Linked DNA regions of Caenorhabditis elegans. The protein of the gene in region 2 purifies or fractionates together with the protein of the main gene of each other region. This does not show direct contact. Each region holds a gene or a part of one and is shown on either strand. Other genes may lie near its edges.

Region 1 (11,121 bases), on a different chromosome or scaffold from region 2:
AATATGATTTATTCATTCGACCTGACACTTTGAATAATAAATATAGAGTTTGGTTCTATTTTGAATGCAAAAATGCATCTGAAAATCAGGTAAATGTTTGAAGAATTTGTATTTATTATTGATATTCGAAAACTGGATCTGAGGCGGAAACGTCGGGTCTCGCAGCGATTTTTAAAAAAATTCAATACCCTACGGGTTACTGTAGGTTTTCAGTTTTTTTCTGCAATGGCCATGGTTCTGAAATATTTACGAATTTTCCAGTATACCTAAATATGTTCTTTATTTTCGGGGAGAACATTTTGAGACAACTTTTTTCCTAGCTACAGTACTCTATTTTCCGCGCTAAAAGGTGTGTGCCTTTAAGAATACAGTAACCCATTCCTCGTTTTGAAAGTTACCGGCGGTTACTGTATTGATTGAAGGCGCACACCTTTTTGACTGGGTACTATTTGAAAATTAGTGTAATTATGCAGTTTAAACTTTAAAATTTTATTATCAAATTTGCAAATTCTTCAGCGGGCGATCTTCAATATTGTGAACTTTTCAAAACAAAGAACACTATTCGAAATGGGAATTGCAGCACCTGTAGTCAAATCAAATGCTCAAAATAGTTGGTATGATGAAAACCCCTCGATTTTCTATTTTAAAGAGCCATTTCAACATTTTAGGGCTCGAATCCCATCTCGCCATATCTACTACTACCGTAGTTCCCAACACAATGATCGTTGGATTCTTTCATTTGCTTTCATATTTGAATCACCAGATCCTGTTCAATTTGCATACTGTATACCGTATACTTATGGACAAATGCAGATATGGTTGAATGAGTTGGAATCCAGAAAATACCCATTTTTTCATAGAGATCTTTTGGTTCAAACTGTGGTAAATTGGAAATATTCATGGAATAGTCTGAAACTTTTTGGAAAATAATTCAGCAAAAACGTCGTGTCGACTTGATAACAATTGATGCAACACCTGACACATTCCAAGGATCCAAGAAAATGATTTTTCTAACTGCGCGAGTTCATCCTGGAGAGTCACCGAGTAGTCATGTTATGCATGGAATTATTGAATTTCTTGTTTCCAAAGATGATCGAGCACAGAAGTTGAGAAAAGTTTATTGTTTCAAAATTATTCCAATGCTTAATCCAGATGGCGTTTTTCTCGGAAATTATAGGTAACTTTTTGCAAACAGCCTAGGTAGGCATTCCTCGTCACCAACAACCTCTCGGCCCAGGCATAAAGGCGTACCTACCTACAGTGCCTACCTTATCAGAAGGTCATTTCAGATGTTCTCTAATGGGTCATGACTTGAATAGAATGTGGAGAACCCCTTCAGATTGGGCTCATCCTTCAATTTATGCTGTGAAGAATTTACTGACGCAATATGATAATAATCCGGTGAGAGCTGTTAAATTTATCGATATTGGGAATTTATCGATATACATATTCAGTGTTTTGTAGGACTTTTGAGCATTTTCATCAATTTTTTTTTGCAATTCCCATGATACATTCAAGTTGACTGTATCTCGAAGCGATCAAAATCCTAGATTACTGTAGACTATGGTTAAATTGAAACATTGTGGGAAAGTTGCCATGCTCACTGTTATGTGTCAATTTTAGGAATAAATGAATCAATAATTTGTAGAAGTTTTAGGATCTGTTCTTGAATATTTCAGCAAGCCCAAACTGTAATCTACGTTGATCTACATGCCCATTCTCAGAAGCCAAATTGTTTTTTGTATGGAAATGTGAATATGTCAGCTGTAAGTTGTGAATTTTTTTGTGAATTGGTTCGGGCAACTTCAAGAATCAGTTATGAGTTACTGTATTTCTTGAAGGGGTACAGCAACTATTGAAAATATTTTGTCCGTGGCGAGACCCGATATTAGCCGATTGAAGAACTTAGCGATTTTAAACAAAGTACCCGGTCTTGATACTACCGAAACTTAGCAGTTATCTACAGCATTTCACAATTTTAAACCCTAATCTTTTCATAGTTTCGCTCAACTTTGCAATGACCACAAAATTTAAATTTTCTGAAACATTTTTTTCTAATTTTCGGTCGAAGAAAAATCGACTTTCCGGCAGTTATGGCTTCCGCATTTGCTGGCAGATCTTTCCGAAGATTATTCGCTCGAGTTCACTCAATTCAACACGGATGTGGAGAAGGCTGGTACTGGCAGAAGGTGAGATTTTTTATATGGAAGGGAACGAATAATTTATTATGGATTTCGAATAGTCGTGATTTTAATTTGATGGGTCTTGCCACGATATGAATTTTGCAATAGCTAGTAATTTCTCACATGGTCATCCGTAGTATCTGCGTGCAAAAACACGACTGTGGGTCCTGGCGTGAGTGAACATTTCCAGCAACAGTACCTTTTACTTTCAATCTCTATTTTGCAACATTTTCTCAATATTTTGTGTGGTTTTATAATGATGTTTCTAGAAAATATATGCATATTTTCAAAATGAATACATTGGGAAACACGGAGTTGAGAAAAACACGCTGGGTTACTGTAGCAGAAAAATGCCAGTCGTGTCAGGACCCTTCATAACTTTTCAGAACGATGGGAGATCTACTTTCCTGCCTTTGCTATACACTTGAAGTATCATTCTTCTCTTATCGCCATACAGACTCTTCTGGAAATGGAATACAACATTGTACGCCATATCTTCAATATAAATGTAGGTTTTTTTTCAGTGATTTCCTACTGTAACTTGGTTCAATTTTCAGATGAAGCTCTCGGCGAGGCATTTTGCAGAGCACTTCTCAACTTCTATGAAGCCGACTGTGGACTACGAGAGATTGTGCTCGAACGTCCCTTTAAGACTTTTCTACCCGCCCGCGCCCAGAAAACTTTGAAAAAGCAAGCGAGGAAGGTGATTCAGACTGTGATGATGAAATGAATTGGCGCCCACATTAGAACTGATAAAGACCATTGAAATGCAATTTTTTTTTGTTTGTCAATAAATAAGTAAGGGAAGTGGTCAAATGGAAGAACATGTAAATTGAATTGAAGTTAAATCGAGTTCCACACGTGGCACAAAAGAAGTGTCAGATGGCGAAGAGACTACATTGATCGTAGTCTTCGCCGCAATTTTACATATATTTCAGGGAAATGAATGAGCTGACAAGAAAAGTAACAAGAAGGTGTATTTAGAAGGGGAGGTCATCAAGCATTAGGTATTCCTAGCAAGTATGAATAGTCTAGATTTTAACAGAAACCAAAAAAAATCACAACCTTTTCGGGATTGTAAGATACCACAAGACGAGTAGAAGTGATTGTTGCGAGAAAATGTATAACAGATGTTGAGAAAAAGAAAATAAGTTAGGATACTGATTATGCCACGAGTTAGTGTGTCATAGTATCGTATAAGACAGTGGGCGAAGGAGATGGGATTCGAGAATAATAATAAAAATCACAAAAAAGTATACCGAAGAAAATAAATATTTGGGACTCGGGGGATGGTGGGGGAATCAGACTGAATCTTCCCGACTCATTTGTAGAGGATTCACGTATTCAAATCCATCAAATTCTGATTGATCAATTCGTGCAATAACATCTGGATTGTCAGGTGATAATTGTGGAAGTTCGTCGGTGAACTGAAAAAAAAAACAAGCATTTTGAATTAGTTTTAAAATATTTTGATTCAATAATTTATTAGTAAACAAAAACTAATTTTTTTTTAAAGTTAAGTTCTGAAGAAATTAAAATTACCTGATGATCAAAGTGTGTCAAATCGCGATCACTTTCCACAGCTGGATGATATGGAGGTGCGACAGCCTTCTGTTCCAAAGCTTCCCAATCAATGAATCCACGGAAGAATTGATGTTCTTTCATATCACGAAGACCTTCATTAATGTCAAGCTTACATCCCAGACGTTCTGTTGGATCCTTGTTCAGGAATCCCTTTAGAATACCAGAAGCCCGTACAGAAAGTGATCTAGGGATTCGAATCTGTCGTTCAAGAATGATTTGGAAAAGATAATCTTCTGTATTTTCCTCGGAATTCTGCATTCCAACAATATCGAATGGAGATCGACCAGCCATCATTTCAAACCTAAAACGATTTAAATAAAATAAATGTTCAACCAAAAAAGGCTTACATTAACACTCCCAATGCCCACCAATCAACACTGAATCCATATTCATCACCTCTCAATATTTCTGGTGCAATATAATTGGGTGTTCCACAGAAAGTTGAAGTTAAATCTCCATCCTTAATATTCTCTTTACACATTCCATAATCTGTCAGTTTTATGTGTCCTTCAGCGTCAATCAGAACATTGTCCAATTTGAGATCACGATAAATGATTCCGCGAGAATGAAGGAAATGAAGAGCAAGAATTATTTCACCCGAATAGAATCGAGCGTGCTCTTCTGGAAGCTTCCGTTGCTGTTGCATGTGGAACATCAGATCACCTCCAGGAACGAATTCGATGACAAAGAACAGGCGGGATTCGGTCTGAAATTATCAAAATTTTGGTTTAAAATTTTTAATGCGAAAATTTGAGATTTGAAAAAATCGAAGAAAAAGAAAGTTACCAACCTGGAAGCAAGAATGTAATCCAACAAGGAATGGATAATTTGACGCTGCTTCGAATACTGACTTCTCCGTCTGTACCCAATCGATATCTTCATCTTCATTGAACATCTCCTTTTTGATAATTTTTATCGCGTAAATTTGACGAGTTGAAACATGTTCTGCTTGCACAACTTTTGCATAAGATCCACGTCCAATAACTGTTAAAAGACGGAAATCGTTCAGAGAAACTGCCCATTTTGACGACCCATTTCCATTCTGAAATATTAAAAAATTTTAGTATTTGAATCTATGTAACTTTAAAAATACTTTTCGCCGTTTCTTTTTATCTGATACTGGGAAGCACTGACAGAAAAGTGCCATACGTTGAAATATTAAAATATTTTGATATCAGGAAGAAATCAGAATTCGCAGCGAGGAAGGGAATTGTGGTTGGAAATGAATAAAAATTTTGAGAGCAAGAGAAAGAGTGAAACTACAAAAACTTGTTCATCCAAAAAAAAACAAAAAAATGTAGTTGAGTCTAGAAATCTAGAATGTTTTTCAAGAGTTACATATATCACGTATCTAGAAATTTGAAATTGAAATTGCAACAGGAAGAACCTAATATTTAATTGAACTTTGGATTAAACTTAATTAAATATTTCAATTAACTACCACTATTTCAAAGACTTTCCAATTTAAATTGTTTTTTTTAACAAGAGTTATTTCATTTTCAGCTATTGTAAATCTGAGACTTTTCAGATGGTTTTATTTAAATAAAAGTTATGTTTTTTTGGAAATAAACTAATAAATTTCAAAAAAAATTAACTTTTCTGAATATTAAATTAAATTTATTACGATCCCTCGGAGACGTGAAGACAAAGATATTTATATCAAATTTCAAATATATTTTATTTCAAATTTTGGCTCCAACTTCAAAAGCTTACCATAGCTCTGCTAGCATCATGACTCGTGGATCCGGGTGATTCGATTTCGTGCTCGTGGAATGCTCCGTTATCAATTCCTCCACCCGACCGCGTTGTAGATGAGCTTGTATTCGATCGAGCACCCTTTAGAGAACCACTTGCAGGAGCCATTGGGATAATATTCGGGCCTTGGAGAGCCTGAAAATGATTTAGATTTTTATGAGGAATTTAAAAATTTAAGCTTTAAACCTGTTTTGCACAGAAATTTGTAAAAATTGAAAAACAGAAGTCTGGGAGGTCTTAGTTTCAAAATTTTGGAATAATTTAGAAGCTATCCTCGCTACAAAAAAAAAGAATTACCTGACCACAATGCGTTCGCACATGCCGATGGCATTTTTTGTGCACGCATAAACGACAATCCACACATCGAAAGCCTTGCCGTCCAATTCCCCATATGTAGTCATGACAAATAAAGCATTGAATACGGCTGAAAAGAAAGAAGCTCCGGAGGCTGTAAATCAGAAAAAAAAACCTACCGATTCAGCCGTTTCGCTTGGAATCGATGCCCATTGTACAGATAAATTTTCTTCCATCGTCGAGCACCTCTTCGATATACAGTTTCTGGAAAAAAAACATTTCTCAGACTCGAAAATTTCCGATTTTTCCTCCGACAAATTTCTTGTTAAACGCGAGAAATTGTGTGCCTTTAAAGATTACTGTAGTTTCAAACTGCGGAAGTTTGATCTATTTTCCAAAATTCCAAAATTTATGTGTTTCTAATTGTTTCATTTCAATCTTTTTATAAAAATTGATAGAAATTCCGCTTTACAGTATTCTTTGAAGGCGCACATTTTTTCGAAATTCTAAATAATTTTTCTGATAGCTTCATGATACTTACTGTCTTCTCCTTGACACGGAAGCCCGGGCAGCTCTGGTTTTCCAACAAAAACGTGAATGTTCAACTCGGCTTCTTGACTAGAATTCAAACATCGAACTGCTTCATCAAGTTCCATTTGTGAGTCTATTGAGATTGGATCTCCATCTTCATCAATCCATTTTACAGTAATATCTTGTTTTTTGTGTTGTTTACAAGCATCTTTCAAAAGTGCAAAAAAGTCATCGAGAATGAGCGGTGGTCGAGCATAGAGTACTACTACCTGGAATTTAATTTTTATTAAAATTTGGGAGTCTGGAATTTTTCAGATTAAAAAAAAAAAGTTATACAGTAACAAAAATTATTTTTCAATTTTGCAGAATTTTTAAAAAATCAGTGGTTGTTTTTTTTTAATTTTAGCCGGAAAAGAGCTTTTTAAGTTTTAAACACTATTAATCAAATCATTAAAAGTTCAGAAAAATTAATTTTTTACAGTTTTATTCGGTTATCACGGTCTTTTTCTATTTTTTGTCTGGAATTTTCTCTCTGTTACGAATTTTTAAAGCTTTGACAAACTAAAATTTCGCATTGACGGCGAAATGATTTACACATTCTCACTGCAACGAAAAATTCATTTTTAGGGTATTTCTCGATTTTTGAGCATTTCAAAAGCCACTTTTCATATCTCACCTGTCCTTGAAACCTCGTTTTTAGCTTAATATCTCCGTCCTCCTCTAATGATGTCGGAGACGACATTCTGAAATAAAAATTGAACTAAAAACGGTTCAAAAAAAGGAGTTCTGAACGAAAACTGCGAAACTGAAACAGTGACGAGTTGGCAGTATTAGAGTAAAAAAGGGAAAAATGACTCATGAATAAACATGCACATACACACACACACACTGTTATAGCTATATATGCATTGACGCTCTATCGAACACCCCCATTTTGTCCAAGTGTACAGGTCAGTGAGAGCGGCCCAGCTTTGAAGAGGCATAGAGAAATGAATAATCACAGGTGACCCTCACAAACACTGTACAGGACGACGATGCGCGCGCACCGACTAACACGGGCGGTCTAGGAAAGTGACAAAAAAGTAACAGAGAGAGAGTCTCGACACATATTGTTTGTTCCTGAACAGAAACAGTTATATTCGAATACCGAGTTTATTTTACGGTTATCAAGCAATTTCATGAATTTCAGAATTTCAGTATCAAAATGAAAAATGAGTATAAATAAACCGTTCAGATAAATACTAGGGATACGGGGGAAATTAGAGATGTAAGACATTTAGTGCTTCTTGAAGTACTCTTGGCTTTCTTTGACTCCTGGCTTGATGGTGTCGGATCCTGGAGTCCATCCAGCTGGGCAAACCTCTCCGTGCTTCTCGACGAACTGGAAGGCCTGAACAAGACGAAGAGTCTCATCAACAGAGCGTCCGACTGGAAGATCATTGATGGTGATTTGACGGAGGTTTTGTGATGGGTCGATGATGAAGAGTCCTGAAATTTTATTTTTCAAATAAAGTACGAAAATATGAAGGATTCCATTCAGAATATAACTCACCACGGAAAGCAATTCCTTCGTCCTCCTTGAGAACTCCGTAATCACGGGAGATTTGGTGGTTGGTGTCAGCGAGAACTGGAATGTTCATCTCTCCGAGTCCTCCGTGCTTGCGTGGCTGGTTGATCCATGCCAAGTGAGAGAAGACAGAGTCGGTGGAAGCGGCGAGCACAACGGTGTTGATAGCCTTGAACTCCTCAGCACGGTCAGAGAAGGCGATAATCTCGGTTGGGCACACGAAAGTGAAGTCAAGTGGGTAGAAGAAGAGCACAACGTATTTTCCCTTGTAGTCAGAGAGCGAAACATCAACGAACTCGCCATCAACGACGGCTTGAGTCTTGAATTGTGGAGCTGGCTTTCCGATGAATGCTTTCGACATCTAAAAATTAATTAGTTTAACAAAAAAAAATAATACCGCGATAAAATAACAACCACAATCACAAGAACAACAATACGACAAAAAATGAAAAGGATATTGAAACCCAACGGCAACGAATTTGTTTGCAATGTGAAAAGAAGGAGAATAAGGTGACGGGCGGTGCTTATCTAATGGGAATGAAATACATTGGCAAAATTGGAGAGCGACGAAAGAAAAAAAATCGGAGGACGAAATGAGAACTAATAAAACATTCTGGGAACATCTTTGAAAAACCAAATTAATTGTTATAAAAGTGAGTGATCATGTTAAATAACAGAAATCGAGGGGTTTAAACTTTTCCGTGATTTAAATTAATATCTAAGTAACCAAATATATTTTTAAAAAACAAATAAGAAATGCACCTTTGGAGCGAGAGACATGATTTCACACTGCAATTTTTAATAAACATTTCTTTGCATCTTCCAAGAAACGAAATAAGGTCAGTCTTTTTATAACATTGCCACAAACTTTCATCATCATGTGACGCGATTTTTGCTGACAATTGTCGCGGCAGGGAGTAACAGACTACAACGTTTAGGAGGAGCGAAAATCTTAGGGTTCAAGGTCACTTTTAAAGAAAATTCAAATATTATTACCTGTCTATACATCTTGGCGCAGAGTTTTAGAATTTCAGCTGGTCGAGCAGGTCTTAGAATTCGAATTCACTATTTATCTTAAATTTAGCTGATCGATTCTATCTCTCATTTGGCTAGCGTATTCTTCCCCGGTTGCTATGGCTTCCTAGCAAGCTTTCATAAAAGTCGAAAATAACCTGAACTCGCAGACAAGATTGCAAAAAAATGTGGAGTATTTCAACGGGCGCCGCTAGGCGCAGATCAATAAATATGAAGGTGGTCAGACGAGAGAGCGGAAAAAAACGAGGCGCCACGAAGTAAACAAGTGAAACTACGCGAATGCGAGAAAATCTGCGAAAAAACTAACCGGTTGGAGATGTTGCGTCGAAAATCCTAAAAAGGGAATAATTCTGGAAGCGAGTTTTGGCGGTTGCGACAAAAAGTAGGTCAAAAAGTGCTTTTAGTTTTAAAATTGAAAAATGAGAGGTCTGGATGGAAGGAAACACGAGACTTTCATGTTTATTCGAGCGCTTTAGGCAAAATTGAAAAAAAAAGTTTGCGGGAAAAATAAAAAAATGTTCAGGTCCGCAATTTGACTTTGCGGTGAACCGCGTATTTTGAAAACTACCGTAGTTGGACAGTTGGTCTCGTCGCGACAATTTTTCTTAAGTACAAACGAGTGTGTGCCTTTCAGGAGTACTGCGAGATTTATCGATTTTTCAAAGTTTTTCGTTTGAAAACAGTATTTATCTAAAAAACTAAAATAAAACAATTAAAAGACGTTAATTTCAATAAATCGCGATAGAACCCATAAAATCTGTCAAATTTGTAGTGATTTTTCTACGATTTGTTCAAATTTATGTGTTTTCATTGTTATAACTTAGTTTTTAACTGAATTTATTTTTATCGAAAAAGTAAACGAAAAACGCCAAATATAACAATTAAAACCCATAAATTTCAATAAATTGTAAAATGTTGAAACTATGAAAAATAAAAATAAAATAAAATTCCACAGCAACAAAAAAATTACCGCAACATTCTAAATATATATGGTCAGATATTCAACATTCCGGTGTGGATATATAAGATAACAACTGAGAATATAATGTGTTCGGTCATAAAATATAATTTATTGAACCTTTCAAAATAAATAATTTAAAGCACATAGGACTATCACAAAAAATACACTGGCGATTCTAAAACGAAACGCTTAAAACCCAAATTTCAAGAAAAAACATTAATTAAAGCGTAGATTGAATAATCTCGTCGAGCTTTCTTGCAAATGCTTCAAATGCAAACACTTTTTGCACCCATTTCGGACCTTCCTCACTCATTCTTCGATACATTTCCTCATCTTTCATCAAATCAATCATTTTCTCAGCAAACGCTTCGGCCGTTTGATCAACCAAAAATCCCGTCTCATTATTCCGAACCGATTCACAGGGACCTCCAGTGTTAACAGCAATTACTGGGGTTCCCAAGTACATTGCTTCAACTGGAACAATTCCGAAATGTTCTCTATCAGGCGTGTAAAGTACCGCACGACTTCTCCGAATGAGATTTACTTTTTGAGTGTCAGATGGTGAGTGGAGAAATACGATCTGAAATTTAAAAGTAATTTATACTTTGCTAAATTCGTATTTATTACCTGATCAGCTGGGAGCTCCAGTTTCTTCATATGTTCAACAAGTTCATCATAGTGTTCGATGTTTTCTGGGTTTTTCAAATCATATCCGCCAGCAATAACAAGATGACATTGCGAAAATTCGTCGGCAGGAAGATTCGATTTCAATTTCTCTGCAAAATAATTTATTACACAGGTTTTTAAAAATATAAAATCTAAAGTTACCGAATGCGTCTAGAGCCAAAACGATATTCTTCTTTCGTTCAAATCGGTTCAGTGAGGTGAAAACATATTTGGTACCACGTGGAATTTCTTCACCAAAATCATCCGAAGCTTCAATCGAATCGAAAAACTCGGTGTTCAACGAAGGATAGAGTACGGTCAGCTCCTGAGATGCCAGTGACTTGAATGTTTCACGAACCACATTTTTTGTAAAATTACTATTGACACAAATGACATCTGCAAGTCCAGTTGTGTACTCTTCAATCCAATCAATAATATTTCTATAGAAAGCTTTCAGATTTCCATCACGTTTCGTTAAAAGTCGATCCGGGAAATGACAATAGAATACGAGTTTTGCCTTTGAGAAATGACGAAGAACAAATTGA
Region 2 (12,693 bases):
AGAGACAGCTCCGTTTGAGTGACTCAAATTTTCCATTCTATGAAGACCAAGCTCATCTGAAAAATTGCAATGAAGTTGTTATTATGTTCCTAGCATTGTTTTCAAGTTTAGGCAACCATGTTGTAAAAGACAGATGCATTAAGTGTTTTCAAATATCTTACCATTCATATAGGAAACTCCATTCATTCCATAAGTCTTATTTTCTGAAATATCAAGTGGCACGTGTCGTTTTCTTGGCCAGGCATATTTGGTCTCAGTGAGCTCTCCATCAAGAATTTTCACAAAGCAATGAGCATCAGTATGATCGTGAACACTAAATTTCGTAAAATGAATGTTATATGATGATAAATCTCAGTTAACGTACCTGCTAGCCATACCGGGGCCCCAACACAAAATCATCAAGTTGTACTTTCCATTTCCAACATCCACTAGGTTTCTTGTGTATCTGTAAAAAAATAGTAAATTTTCGTGAAAAGACTTTTACCAAACTGACTTGAATTTATACTGTTCTAGTTCTATTTTCACCATCCTCTGCTAAATAATTGTTCGAAAAATGTTTTCTAATTTTATGAATTTGGTAAAAATGTTAAGATTTTCAATATTTCTTTTAACAGAACCAAACACCAATATAATACATCACGATCATTCATAATTTCCGAAGAATTCTAAAAATTACGCAGATCTTAAAAGTAGATTAGTCTGTAATCTCATCTTCCCCCAAAAATGCATTTCAATTTTTTCTGGAACAAACCAGCACTCACTTGTTCATATCGAAAATGGCAAATCTTCGCCACTCATTTGCGTTGCTTTTGTATGAAGCCATCAGCTTCATCACTTCGTCAACATCTATCAATTTCTGTTGGAAGATTTCACGAATTTGAACAACTAACTGAACAAATGATATCATTTTTCTGAAAACAGGAATGTTGTCATATTGAATAGTAAATAAAAAAAAAGTTGAAAATAAAATAAATAAACTCCTAAAGAAAATTTACTAACTGAAAAAAAGTAATGAAATAATACGAATCATAATTTCTTAGACGTCTCCAATAGGAATAAACAACTTCTAGTAAACCACCAAAAGCTTGGGGAACAATAATCCTATCAATGTTTCGAATGTTCAGAATAATCGGAAAAAATTGATATGATAGTTACCAAATTTGCAGAACACGGTTTTTTAGGCTCACATGCATAATGATACTCGTTTTGTGAACTGACCAAAAATAGATATTCACTGACCAAAAATAGACATGCACTGACCAAAAATAGATATGCACTGACCAAAAATAGATATGCACTGACCAAAAATGGATATGCACTGACCAAGAAACGTTAAGGACTAACCATCATAAAAATCACTAGGAATCCTGTTAGATAATAAATATAACTGTACACAATACACTTAGACTGACAAGCTCAAAATCTAAAAAACTTTATAATAAAATGTTATCAGTTACAATTACAGTAGTCACACATACAAGTAACGGCGAAATGCGAAGGGGAACACAACGTGACAAAACCAGTCATTTACAATAAGAAATCGCTAATCGACCATCGTTAACAGTTAAGGGAGAAGGAGATACTTTGTGAAAGAAAATATGAAAACGACGACAGATTGAATTAATAGTGACACTTAATGAGTGGAAACAAGAGAAAAAAGATAGAATCGGAAAAAGATCGGCAAAGCATTGCGAAAAATAAACTGTATGTCTATGTCTGCCACGTGAGATTCTGGTTTTTTCTTCTTTTGGAAATAATTTTTTGTTTGTTAGGTTGAACATTTAAACTTTTAGAAGTTCGAAATCCAACTGATCAGATTCAGTATTTATTAGGTGATTAGTGTTATCACAAGTTACCGTTACAAAGGGGCGTGGTTTGGAAATGACGTCATCTGATGTGAAACTGATGGCGTTAGTCGACTAATATCTTATCTTATCAGACAAAACCTTTGCAATTGTCACGTAAGCAAGGCATTTTTGTAGTTTACAGTAATATCGGGACTTCCCGTTCTTGAAGTTTTGAAAATTGGAGATCGATCTGGAAGGGAGTTATGTACAGGCATCTAGTAATTTTGAAGAGGCAACTATTGACAATCTTTAAAGTTTTATTTTTAAAAATTAGATTTGATAGGTATTAAAGAAACACTCTCCTAGAAATTATAGATTCTTCAATTTTTCCAAACGTACAAAAAATACGAATTTTTCCATTTTCTCTAATCGCCTGCAATAGTGTAGCATGTTTCAAAAATTAAAAATCGTTTAAAATTAGTTTTTCATACGCAACGTATATATTGACAAAAAAGGCAAAGACCGAGGGCAAATAAATAACATAATAAAGTTTAAAAAAAACCACCATTTCAAACAAAATTAATATATATCAACAGGAAAACGATTTTTAAAAAAAATGCATCTATGACTTGTGCGTACTGCTCCAACCGCGAAAGTTCAAATTCACCGTACTTCGCTGTAGTTCGGAGGATTTGATGAGGAATGCCACGTCACCATCACGTGATAAACAACTCGAGTTTAGTGCCATTACGTCGATTGGCTGAAAAATTCTAGTTTAGAACGGAGAAAAGCAAAATTAGACATTGTGCAGGAAACTTAACCACTTCTCAGCGCCACCTATGCGTTGACCTTTCAGAATTTTCAGAAGGCAACACGTGCACACTTGGCGCGTGCTAGCGGCTGGCTTAAAAAACAACCAAAAACAAAAAAGAAATCCGTCGAACCGGATTCGAACCAGTGACCTAAGGATACCTGCTGACTCTACAGTCCTCCGCTCTACCAACTGAGCTATCGACGGCACGGAGGTGGACGGAAAAATGTGTCAATAAAAATGTTTGTTGCTTGAAAGACTTTCAATGCGTCTAAGTGGCAGATACGTAGTTACAATCGTATAAAACGGTTCCTGGCGGGACCTTTCTGTCTTTACTCACGTCTATAAACTTCCTCGACTCAAATGAAGAAGCTTTTTGAACAGAATGAACCCGTAGACTTCCATCGTTTGCTACCAAAACCACAAATGATTCGAAATTGTTGGAATCTGAATCTCAATTCATATTAAATGTTTTTTTTTCAAATTCAGGAAATCTCACTCTTTTTATTCAATATCCTAGCCACCATTCCATTTTTGATCTTCAGCCCTTCCAGCGCAGTGATCTTATAACTGTCGCGTTTCACCATCGGCTGACAATTATAGATTCGCAGCTGCTCCTCGGTGATGACGACGATTCGAGTGGATGCGGAGAACTGAAATAACCAAATAAATTGAGTATGAATAATTTCACGGAGTTAACTGGGGATACGCTAATGCCGCGGAGTCGCGCACCGGGAAATTTGAAAAAAAAACACATGGGAGACACGAAAAATTCTAGAATTTTGACTACATTCGCATAAACTAAAAACTGGCAATTTTGCAACTCTTTTTCATTCACACTCCAAATCTCAACTTACATATCCTTCCTCATTTGTGATATCTAGATTAACAACCGGTTGCTTGTGAGGAATCGAGAGTTTCTTAATCTGTTCCGCTTTGAACGTCATTCTTAGTCCAACATCATGTTCGCTGATTGCGTAAAAGTAGACAGAGCCTTCGTGGAGCCCCACAGCTATAATGTCATCTACATTTTTGTCGTCGAGCACCGGAAAGCGCATCATTCGGAGACATGTTACGGTTCCTTTGGAATCTGGAAATATTGAAATTTCAGGGTGAGATAGGAATTGCTTTTGATTTTTATTCAGAAGATTTGAAGATTTTGAAAAGCATGTGACCACGTTTAAGGCTTTTCACCTAATCTATGAGCACTTCAAAAAACCCCGTTTCAGATTTCCACTTACTCTCAGCATAGCAATCCAGCACTCCCAGCTCTTCCCTTGCTTCAATTGGTCTCTCCATGAACACCTCTTCCTCTTCAAAATCGTCAATTCGCTTTGGACTTGTCTCATGCTGCACATGATTTGAAGATGAAGCCACTGCACCTCCTGAATCCATTAATGTTTCAGTGCCCTTCTTTTTTCGTCGGAACGTCTTTCGAAGTGACTTCTTGAGACTTTTGAATCGTTGGAATTGGTTGGCACTGACATTACTTGAATCATCTGAAATGAGCGTAGACTTCGAAGATGCTTTATGTTAAAGGCGGCCGAGCTTCATGGTTTTGAAAACTGGTGGTTTCGATAATTGCTAATTTTCAAAATTGTTAGCAATTTCCAATCATCCCGGGGTCAGACTCCCCAATCTACAAACTTTGTTCTTTCCAAATTATCTGAAAACTCACTGTTGTCATCATTGAATGAATTCGCATAGACAAGATATCCAAAGTTTACATCAAGCATCACAATTCCAAAGTTACTTCCAACTGCCAAGCAGTGATACTTGTGAAGATAGACAATATCGGTGATTCGGTGGCTGGGATGCATTGAGAACACCAACGGTAGATCACTCTCGTTTTTAAGCCGTATTTGATAACCCGCATTGTACTTTAATTCTGCTTTCCTAGGCTTTAGCGCTCGTTTTCTCGTGTCTGGCGGAGAATTATTGCAGCTGATCGGTGTGGCCTCCCAATGTGTGAGAGTTCTCGCAGAATCCCAAAGTTCATACATTAGTACATAGCCACCTCGATTCGTTCCAATCACAATTCCAGATTTCGGATCAAAGTGCACACGGGTGATACACATTTCTTCGTCGTCATCAAACGGATCATAGAGGCCAATTTTGCGCACTGGTTTTTCAGGTTTCTCGTCGCTATTGTAGTAATTTGAATCTTCGTTCTAAAAGTTTACACACAATATTCACTGTTTCCTAAAATAGTTACTTACATCAAAACTAGATGCGCCGTCAAACTCCAATGAAGTGCGGATAACTAGCATCAAGGACATTCCAACTCCACCGGAAGACCATATACAAATATTTCCATTTGAATGACCACTCAAATAAACTTGTCGGTAAGAAGCTCGTTGATGGTTCGCGTCGGTGACTATCTTCTTTTGAAAGTTCAACGGCCAGTCTCTGGTTGACATCTGGTTAGTCTCCCAATAGGATTTGCTGGCCTGAAGAAAACATAATAAATGACTAAAATAACTATAAAAATTTAACAAGGATGCAAAATGTTTTTCAAGTCAAAAAGGTTTGCGCAACGTAAAAATTGTCGAATTTCAAGTTCAGAATTTTCTACAGTAGCAGCAGGTAGTTTTTCATTGTTGTATAGAAGTTTTTTTGTGGAGACATACTGAACAATATTATCACTTTCTGAATATTACTTTAGTCTTAATTGAAAGTTTTGAGAAGGTGCTCAAAAACTGACTCAAAAAGCCAATTTGCCGGTTGGCACAGTTACGCGGCACACTGCGACTCCTAGGCAGTTTTCGAACATTTTCTACATACGTGCATTTGAAGTTAAATTTTTTTAGAAAGTATAAATATTTCTCTATGTTTCTATATAAACTTGCAAATAAAAAATTTAGCACTACCATGACGAATTTTAGCACTACTATGAGAAATTACCCTTTCCAAAAGTTAAAAAAGAAAAACAAAACCTAACCGATTCCAGACGATTCCATACATTTTCCTCAATTTCAATAGCTCTCGAGTGGGTAGTTGGCGTACTATTATTAAAAAGGATTAAAGGATTAAAGGACGATCCGTTCTTCAAGTGCTATGCACTGCGGATCTGGGATTCAGGTACACTGCCTGGTGGTGATCCCTCTGGGCTGTAATTTAAGTCACGTCCTAGCCGGGGACTGTGGCCGATAATCCAGTCGTGGATTGCTCCACTTCCCAATAGAGGCTGGGTGAACCTAGGGGGTGAGGCCGGACTTGAACTCGTGACCTCCAGACTGCTAGCGGCCACCACTACCGACTGAGCTATCTGCCCTACTATGAGAAATTACCCTTTCCAAAAGTTAAAAAAGAAAAACAAAACCTAACCGATTCAAGACGATTCCATACATTTTCCTCAATTTCAATAGCTCTCGAGTGGGTAGTTGGCGTACTATTATTAATCGAAAGAAAATGTTTCGGCTGCATCATATTCAACGACTCCCTTTCCAAATCGATTCCAATGATCTCGCATTTTGTGCATATTAATACCACTCCACTTTTCTTGCAATCTTCTGGAACATATTCAAAATTAGGAAAAAAATAGTTCGAATAATTTTCAGTACCGTAACTACCACTGACACCAACAATCCCTACAATTTCCGATGAGAGCTCCAGTTTTTCAACAAAGTCGCCATGGCTAATTGTGATCAGATCTCTATCGTCGTACTTTCCAGAACTTTTGCCTCCTTGGTAGATGAGGAAGTTCTCGTTAGGATCCCTGAAATGAGGCAAATAATTATAGTAAATCCAAGCAGAGAAACTCCGAGAAGGCGATTTGTATGAAATTGACTTTATGAAAATGAGTTTTTATTTTTATTTTTGAAACAAAACCTTTATTTTGAAAACTTTAAACGAAAACTTACGACGCATCAGCACAAACAGAGAAATGTCGAATTTGATGGCAAGGATAGGGTCCAAATTGATTCGCACTGTAGACATTCACTTCTTGAGCACTTATCTGACAGTCTTTTCCAACTGTAAACTCCCATTTTGTGTATTTATTATTGCAAGAAATGCCAAAAGCTACATTTTTCTTCTTCTCGCTACTCCAGTGAAGTTTCTGTAGAGAACACATTTAAAAAAAGAAAAAAAAAGTTTCAACACACCTGTATAGCTTCATCCTCATAGTTCCGTAGACTGGTCTTCATGACAAACTGTGATTCGTTAAATACGCCAACACAACCGTTTTCCGCAATGAGCATCAAAATTGATGGCTTTTCCGGTAAGCAGGTTATACTGGCGAGCTCTGTGTCGTCAGGCAGCCATTTTTCAAAATCTTCAGCTTTGACGAGAACTTCTGATTTGAGGGTTTTGGATTTGATTCGGTATATTGTGTTATTCATGGCTGTAAAAATTGAAACTTTTTGGACTTACAAGCTATCAAAACCATAAATGCTTTCTGTTTTGCTCACGTCATAATGAAGCTTGATTGAAAATAAATTCCTGTTACGGTAAACCTAGTTTCCAGTTTTTCAATATTTTTTCACACTTATTTCGGAGTCAATTTGATAAAGTTGAAAAGAAAGTTTGGTTTGACTGAAATGCCATATTGCTGTAAATCTTACCATTTTCAATTTTTAATTGTTTTTTTTTCTCTGGGAAGACTTTTACGCTTTAGTTTGAAAATTAATTTGCACAACTATATCAACATCGTGCAATTTTTTTGAAACTAAGTTTCAATGAAAAACTTACAAAAAACTAGGGCAAATGTGTCATCTGATAACTTTTGGACATGCGTTATATCCCATTTTGATTTGTGATTTTCGTTAAATCGCAGTTCCTCCTTTTTTGTTATTACACCATCTGAAAAATATAATTTTTAAAATCTTTTAATTGAATTTACAGCCGATATTTTGCCGAAATTGTTCGGCGAAATTTTGAAAACATGTCGTTTGGTAAGTTTCAGAATTTGCCAGGCTTAACAAATTTGGATAAATGTGACTTAAAAATTTTTTTTTGTAGGACTACTACTACTGACTGAATGCTTGGAACACGTTAGATTTTTTATTAGGTTCTTTCTTTTCTATTAGTAAGTAACTTCATCTACAAATTTTTTAATATGAAATCAAATTTTTTTTTGTAAATTTGTAGCATGTGCGGCAAATTTTAAGAACTGCCATACATTCCTATTTTAGTATAATTTTAAAACGAAATAACCTTTGATATGAATTGGGATAATCAGCTGTCCATCACAAAGAACCAATGCAATGTTTGAGGATATGAAGAAAATGTGCTCGATTCTCGCTTTATTCTCACTGTCCTTGCTCAAGCTAACTGTCCATGAAGCTCCTCGGTAGCCGTAAAATGTGACTTCTCCGTTTTTAGATCCAATTACAACACATCCGTTGTGGTAGTCAAATGCTACGACGTCAGAAGTGAATCCACCGCGGTTTCCCTAAAATAAATAATTTTGAACTGATGAGCGGGGAATAAATTAGAAAATATTTCGAATTTGGCAATTATTGTTCAGTTGAAATTTGACAAGTTTTCGTTCCCAGTATAACTTTTTTAAAAATTTTTCTGATTATGTGCTATTCTACAGCATTCTTAAAATAAATTTTCTGGATGACCTAATGCAAATTAAAAGAACATTTAAACGTTTCAAAATATTTCAAATACATGTTCAACCAAAATCTAAACACATACCTCATCGAAAACCGCATATTGTTCTATGGCATGCTCCTCGGGTTCGTGATAAAACTTGGACCGGATAAATCGTAAGATGCTGCTCATATTAACCCAAATTCGAGGTGTCTAAACCGAAAAAAGTCACATAGAACCGTATAAGTGAACACGGAAAAAGGAAAGGAATAGACCCAAAGCGAGAGAGTAGGACGGGGAGAAGAGAAAGAGAGAAGCGAGAAAAGATCAGGTGAACTGAAGAGACGCCGAGTCGGAACGCACCCCTTGTTGTTTGCGCACAATTGTGGTGGGGTTGAGAGGGAAAAGAGAGGTGGGGGTGACTCAGTCATTTGAATGAATGTTGCTAAATGAACCGCACCAGTGACCGCTGGGTGGTCGATAGGTAATAGGGTGCCCTAGCAGGTGTTGCGAAATGCGCGAAGGGTGTAAACGTGTTGGACACGAACAGATTGCAAGTAATTCAAGGTTATCGTACCTATTGACCCAGATAGCTGCTGCTGCTACTGCACTGACCAAACTTAGAATTAACCAAACCTAATGTACATGGCAAATTAACAAGCAAACATAACTTTTGTTTACTTTTGAAGCGTTTTTAAGTTATACACAATGACTCAATTAAATTGAACTTGCCTGCTAAACATAAAGGCAAGGTCCTGATATTTGGGAAATAAGTGGCAAAATTAGAAAAAAAATTGAAGTGAACAAAATATAAAAACTGGGATCAATATTTATAGAAAAAAAACAGTTAATGAAAAACAATGAATATTTTAACTCCTGGGGAATGCGGAAATTAAAAAATGGGCGGCAGAAGGATTTTATGAGCTATAAAACATTTTTGGGGATCTCAGTGGTAGGAGAATTTATTATTATCATGAATATTCAATAGATATTACAGTGTCATTTTATTAGCAGGAGCGGAATTTGTATTTTCTCATAAACATCACCATATAATTTCTGACTTTGCTAAAAAAAATAGCACGCACTGACCCAAATAATTTTGGCACTGGCATAGATAAGTTTGGCACTGACCAAATGAACCTTCGCACTAATCAAATAATGATCGACACTGGTTTATACATGTAATTTTAATTAGGCGGTATTTACTGACCAATCATGAATTTGCCTAAAAAAAAGTTCGCAATTTAGGGCTTTCACGTAGGTGACGAAACGCCTGCAGCGCCCGTTTCACAACAACCGCATGCCTCGCGCCGCGAGCCGTGCTTCCTGTGTAGTGTGGCGCGGAACCCAAGAAGTGTCGGCCGCGGCGGAAGAACCACCGTTCGCACTAAGTGGAATGAGCATCAAGCCTTTGACTTCATGTAATTATGCAGAAATGAGGCAAAAGCTTGGCAGGTTGGAGGCCTGAAACCGCGCCTGCCTTCCATGGAACCGCACTTATGACGGAATGTTCGGCAAAAACTGAAACATGCACGGATCGGAGTGAATAACTGGAACCAACTTTCAGATTACCTTTTTGTTCATAAATGTCTCGTTTTCCAATTTCTTACTTTTCTCAACAATTCCTTCTTACAAGATGATGACTTTAGAAAGACTGAAAACGAATCTGCGACTAGTCAAACAGAAATAATTGATAACGATAGTGATTTTGTAATCATTCCCGCTTGATAAACTGTGCATTTTTCACTTTTTGGCAAAAGTATAGGTGTATATCATTCTTAAACTTTTTTATTTAGGAATGTTGCGGAATTTATTGCTTTTACTACTACCTTTACTGATTGAAGCAAAATTACCTCCATTTTTCTTGGGAAGACTAAATGGGAAAACATTGTTGAAGTAAGTAGATTTTTTGATGAAAATTTAATTTAATCTCTTTTTTGAATTCTAGTCACCATTTGGACCGGTTAACAGCGTCTGATGGGGCAAGCATTCAAGAGACTTACCCAAATTTGCAAGTTCATAATTTCACCCAGAAGCTGGATCATTTTGATCCATACAACACGAAAACATGGAATCAGGTAATTAATTCAAAGAATAGTTTTTTCAAACTGCCTTAATTTACAGAAATATTTTTACAATCCAGTATTCTCTAGAAACAACTCAATCATTTTCTTAATGATTGGAGGAGAAGGCCCAGAGAATGGAAAATGGGCAGCAAACCCAAATGTTCAGTACCTACAATGGGCTAAAGAGTTCGGAGCCGATGTTTTTGATTTGGAGCACAGATTCTTTGGAGACAGTTGGCCAATTCCGTATGTGCAGCATTTTTTTAACGAGAAGTTTTTAAGTTCAGTCTCTGAATAAAAATGAGTATGTAAGGTTTGGAAAATTGCCTAAAATCTTTCGCGCAACTTGTTAATTAAAGTGTGTTTATTTCACAAAAAAATAGCATTTATTTCTCAAAAAAATAGCAGATATGTGAAGTAAGTATCAGGGAAATGGAATATTTTTCTACATTTAAAAAATTAAAGAACAATTGTGCTCTTTTTCAGAGACATGCAAACGAGTTCTCTCCGTTATTTAACCACTCAACAAGCCCTCGCCGATTTGGCATTTTTCATAGAGTTCATGAATCAACAATACGGGTTCAAGAATCCAAGATGGGTCACATTTGGTGGTAGTTATCCAGGCTCCCTTGCAGCATGGTTCAGGCAAAAATACCCGCAATTAACAGTGGGTTCAGTTGCTAGCAGTGCTCCTGTCAATTTGAAACTTGATTTCTATGGTAATCTACATAGATTTTTAGTACTTGTAAATTATATATAGTGTTCCAGAGTACGCAATGGTTGTTGAAGACGATTTGAGAATAACCGATCCAAAATGTGCTCAGGCTACTAAAGATGCATTTGTTCAAATGCAAAAACTGGCGTTGACAGCTGAAGGAAGAAACTCATTGAATAATCATTTTAAGTATGTTAATTAAAAAAAAAGCTTTCAAAACAGTTTTTAAAAAACTGGTGCTCAACTAATAGCTCAATTTTTGAAATGGGATCTTTAGGTTTTCTATGTGATTGTGGAAGCTCTGGAGATACAAAATTAGTCAAGTTTGACTTTTCTTTAAAAAATAACAAAATTAAAAAAAAATGCATCCAATTTTCAGTCTTCAACCTCCATTCGATGCAAACACAACAAAACTCGATATCAATAACTTCTTTGGCAATATTTTCAACACTTATCAAGGAATGACTCAGTACACTTATGATGGACAGGTAAGACAATTTTCGTTTTGATCTACCTTACCAAACCATACCTAACTGATTTAACAATACATTCCAGCTTATTGAATAGATCAATAGTATAATTTATCAACAGCTTACAACCATAATTAACCCAACTCTAACTATACACTTTCAGAGCAACAGCACACATTCTGATAAGACCGTCCGCAAAATGTGCGACATTATGACTAATGCCACTGAAACAGATGTGGTGATGAGAGTGGAAAACTTGTTCCTGTGGTTCAACCAAATGGAGCCCGCAAGCGCAAATCTCACTGTCATGCCGAACAGTTATTGGGATGTGATCAGTCAAGTGGGAAGCGGAGATTTGAACGTTTTGGGACCAGATGGAGGTATTACATTTTTCGATAGTATATAAATCAAAAAGGGGGAGCTTAGCATAACGTTGAAACTTCTAGATTATTTCAAAATAAAGTCAAAAATTTAAGCTGCCGCTCGTGGATGGATGTGGTTGTGTTGTAACGAGATTGGATTCCTCCAGACTACAAATCAGGGAAATAATGTATTCGGAACAGGAGTTCCATTGAAGTAAATTTATTCCTAAAATACTTATGAACATAAAATAATTTTCCAGCTTATTCATCGACATGTGCACAGACATGTTTGGTGATAGTATGAAAATGAGTCAAATCATGGGAGGCAACAAGAAATCGCAAAACTACTATGGAGGCGCTGACTTTTATAATGTAAGTACAAAAAATCAATGGAAAAATACCCACCCATAAGCTTTGTCTCCGACGCAGGTAATGAAATTGGCTATCGATTGAGGTTTTTGCGAATCTCTAAATTCCAACTGATTTCCAAAGTTGTAAAACCGGCCGAGTTGCATCATTCCAGATACCATATTTCCTCTATTAGTTAGGCACCTCTATTAGTTTTGCACCTCCATTAGTTTTGCATCTAAAATCACTAACCGAAAATTAGTTTTGCACCTCTAATAGTTTTGCACCCCTTAATTTTTCCCTATTTTTAGGAATTCAAAAGTTGCATTAGAAAGTCGTTCTAAAGTCTAATTAGGAAAACTCTTACAGACTTGGTATAACAAGTCAAAATTGACAAAATATGAGTACAACTCGGACAATTTTTGCGTATCAGTCGTAAAACTCGTCTATTTTGGTTAATAAGTTGTCATTGAAATTGATGATATTATGTCATAATTTAATGGAAAACATGAGAAAAAACCTGTTTGAAAATTAGTTTTGCACCTCCATTAGTTTTGCATCAAAATTAGGTGTCCGAAAATTAGTTTTGCATG

What was found.
Region 1: the proteins of lgl-1 (region 2) and pkc-3 purify together in Caenorhabditis elegans (affinity purification with western blotting, with the first as the bait; 2 studies listed by BioGRID). This does not show direct contact.

Annotation. Positions count from the first base shown.
Region 1 is NC_003280.10:5,375,996-5,387,116, reverse strand, and holds pkc-3 (Protein kinase C-like 3), read right to left. Parts: upstream 7,091-11,121; 5' UTR 7,090-7,090; coding exon 7,024-7,089; intron 6,617-7,023; coding exon 6,358-6,616; intron 6,081-6,357; coding exon 5,996-6,080; intron 5,947-5,995; coding exon 5,820-5,946; intron 5,658-5,819; coding exon 5,481-5,657; intron 4,810-5,480; coding exon 4,558-4,809; intron 4,474-4,557; coding exon 4,115-4,473; intron 4,069-4,114; coding exon 3,726-4,068; intron 3,611-3,725; coding exon 3,485-3,610; 3' UTR 2,948-3,484; downstream 1-2,947. Other genes in the region: ccpp-6 (Cytosolic carboxypeptidase 6), read left to right, coding at 1-89, 517-614, 669-882, 936-1,177, 1,290-1,401, 1,680-1,766, 2,065-2,189, 2,570-2,691 and 1 more; Peroxiredoxin prdx-2, read right to left, coding at 7,624-7,835, 7,900-8,275, 8,677-8,694; algn-2 (Alpha-1,3/1,6-mannosyltransferase ALG2), read right to left, coding at 10,131-10,490, 10,538-10,686, 10,739-11,121.
Region 2 is NC_003284.9:862,668-875,360, forward strand, and holds lgl-1 (Lethal giant larvae homologue 2 domain-containing protein), read right to left. Parts: upstream 8,423-12,693; 5' UTR 8,332-8,422; coding exon 8,245-8,331; intron 7,994-8,244; coding exon 7,756-7,993; intron 7,402-7,755; coding exon 7,291-7,401; intron 6,944-7,290; coding exon 6,705-6,943; intron 6,659-6,704; coding exon 6,462-6,658; intron 6,317-6,461; coding exon 6,162-6,316; intron 6,111-6,161; coding exon 5,926-6,110; intron 5,049-5,925; coding exon 4,818-5,048; intron 4,770-4,817; coding exon 4,277-4,769; intron 4,098-4,276; coding exon 3,840-4,097; intron 3,689-3,839; coding exon 3,456-3,688; intron 3,252-3,455; coding exon 3,098-3,251; intron 3,046-3,097; coding exon 2,939-3,045; intron 2,814-2,938; exon of another isoform or gene 2,690-2,813; intron 2,548-2,689; coding exon 2,410-2,547; 3' UTR 1,430-2,409; downstream 1-1,429. Other genes in the region: cdo-1 (Cysteine dioxygenase 1), read right to left, coding at 1-56, 162-313, 365-445, 762-907; Putative serine protease F56F10.1, read left to right, coding at 9,938-10,035, 10,088-10,217, 10,264-10,451, 10,692-10,924, 10,974-11,109, 11,300-11,408, 11,554-11,770, 11,867-11,966 and 1 more.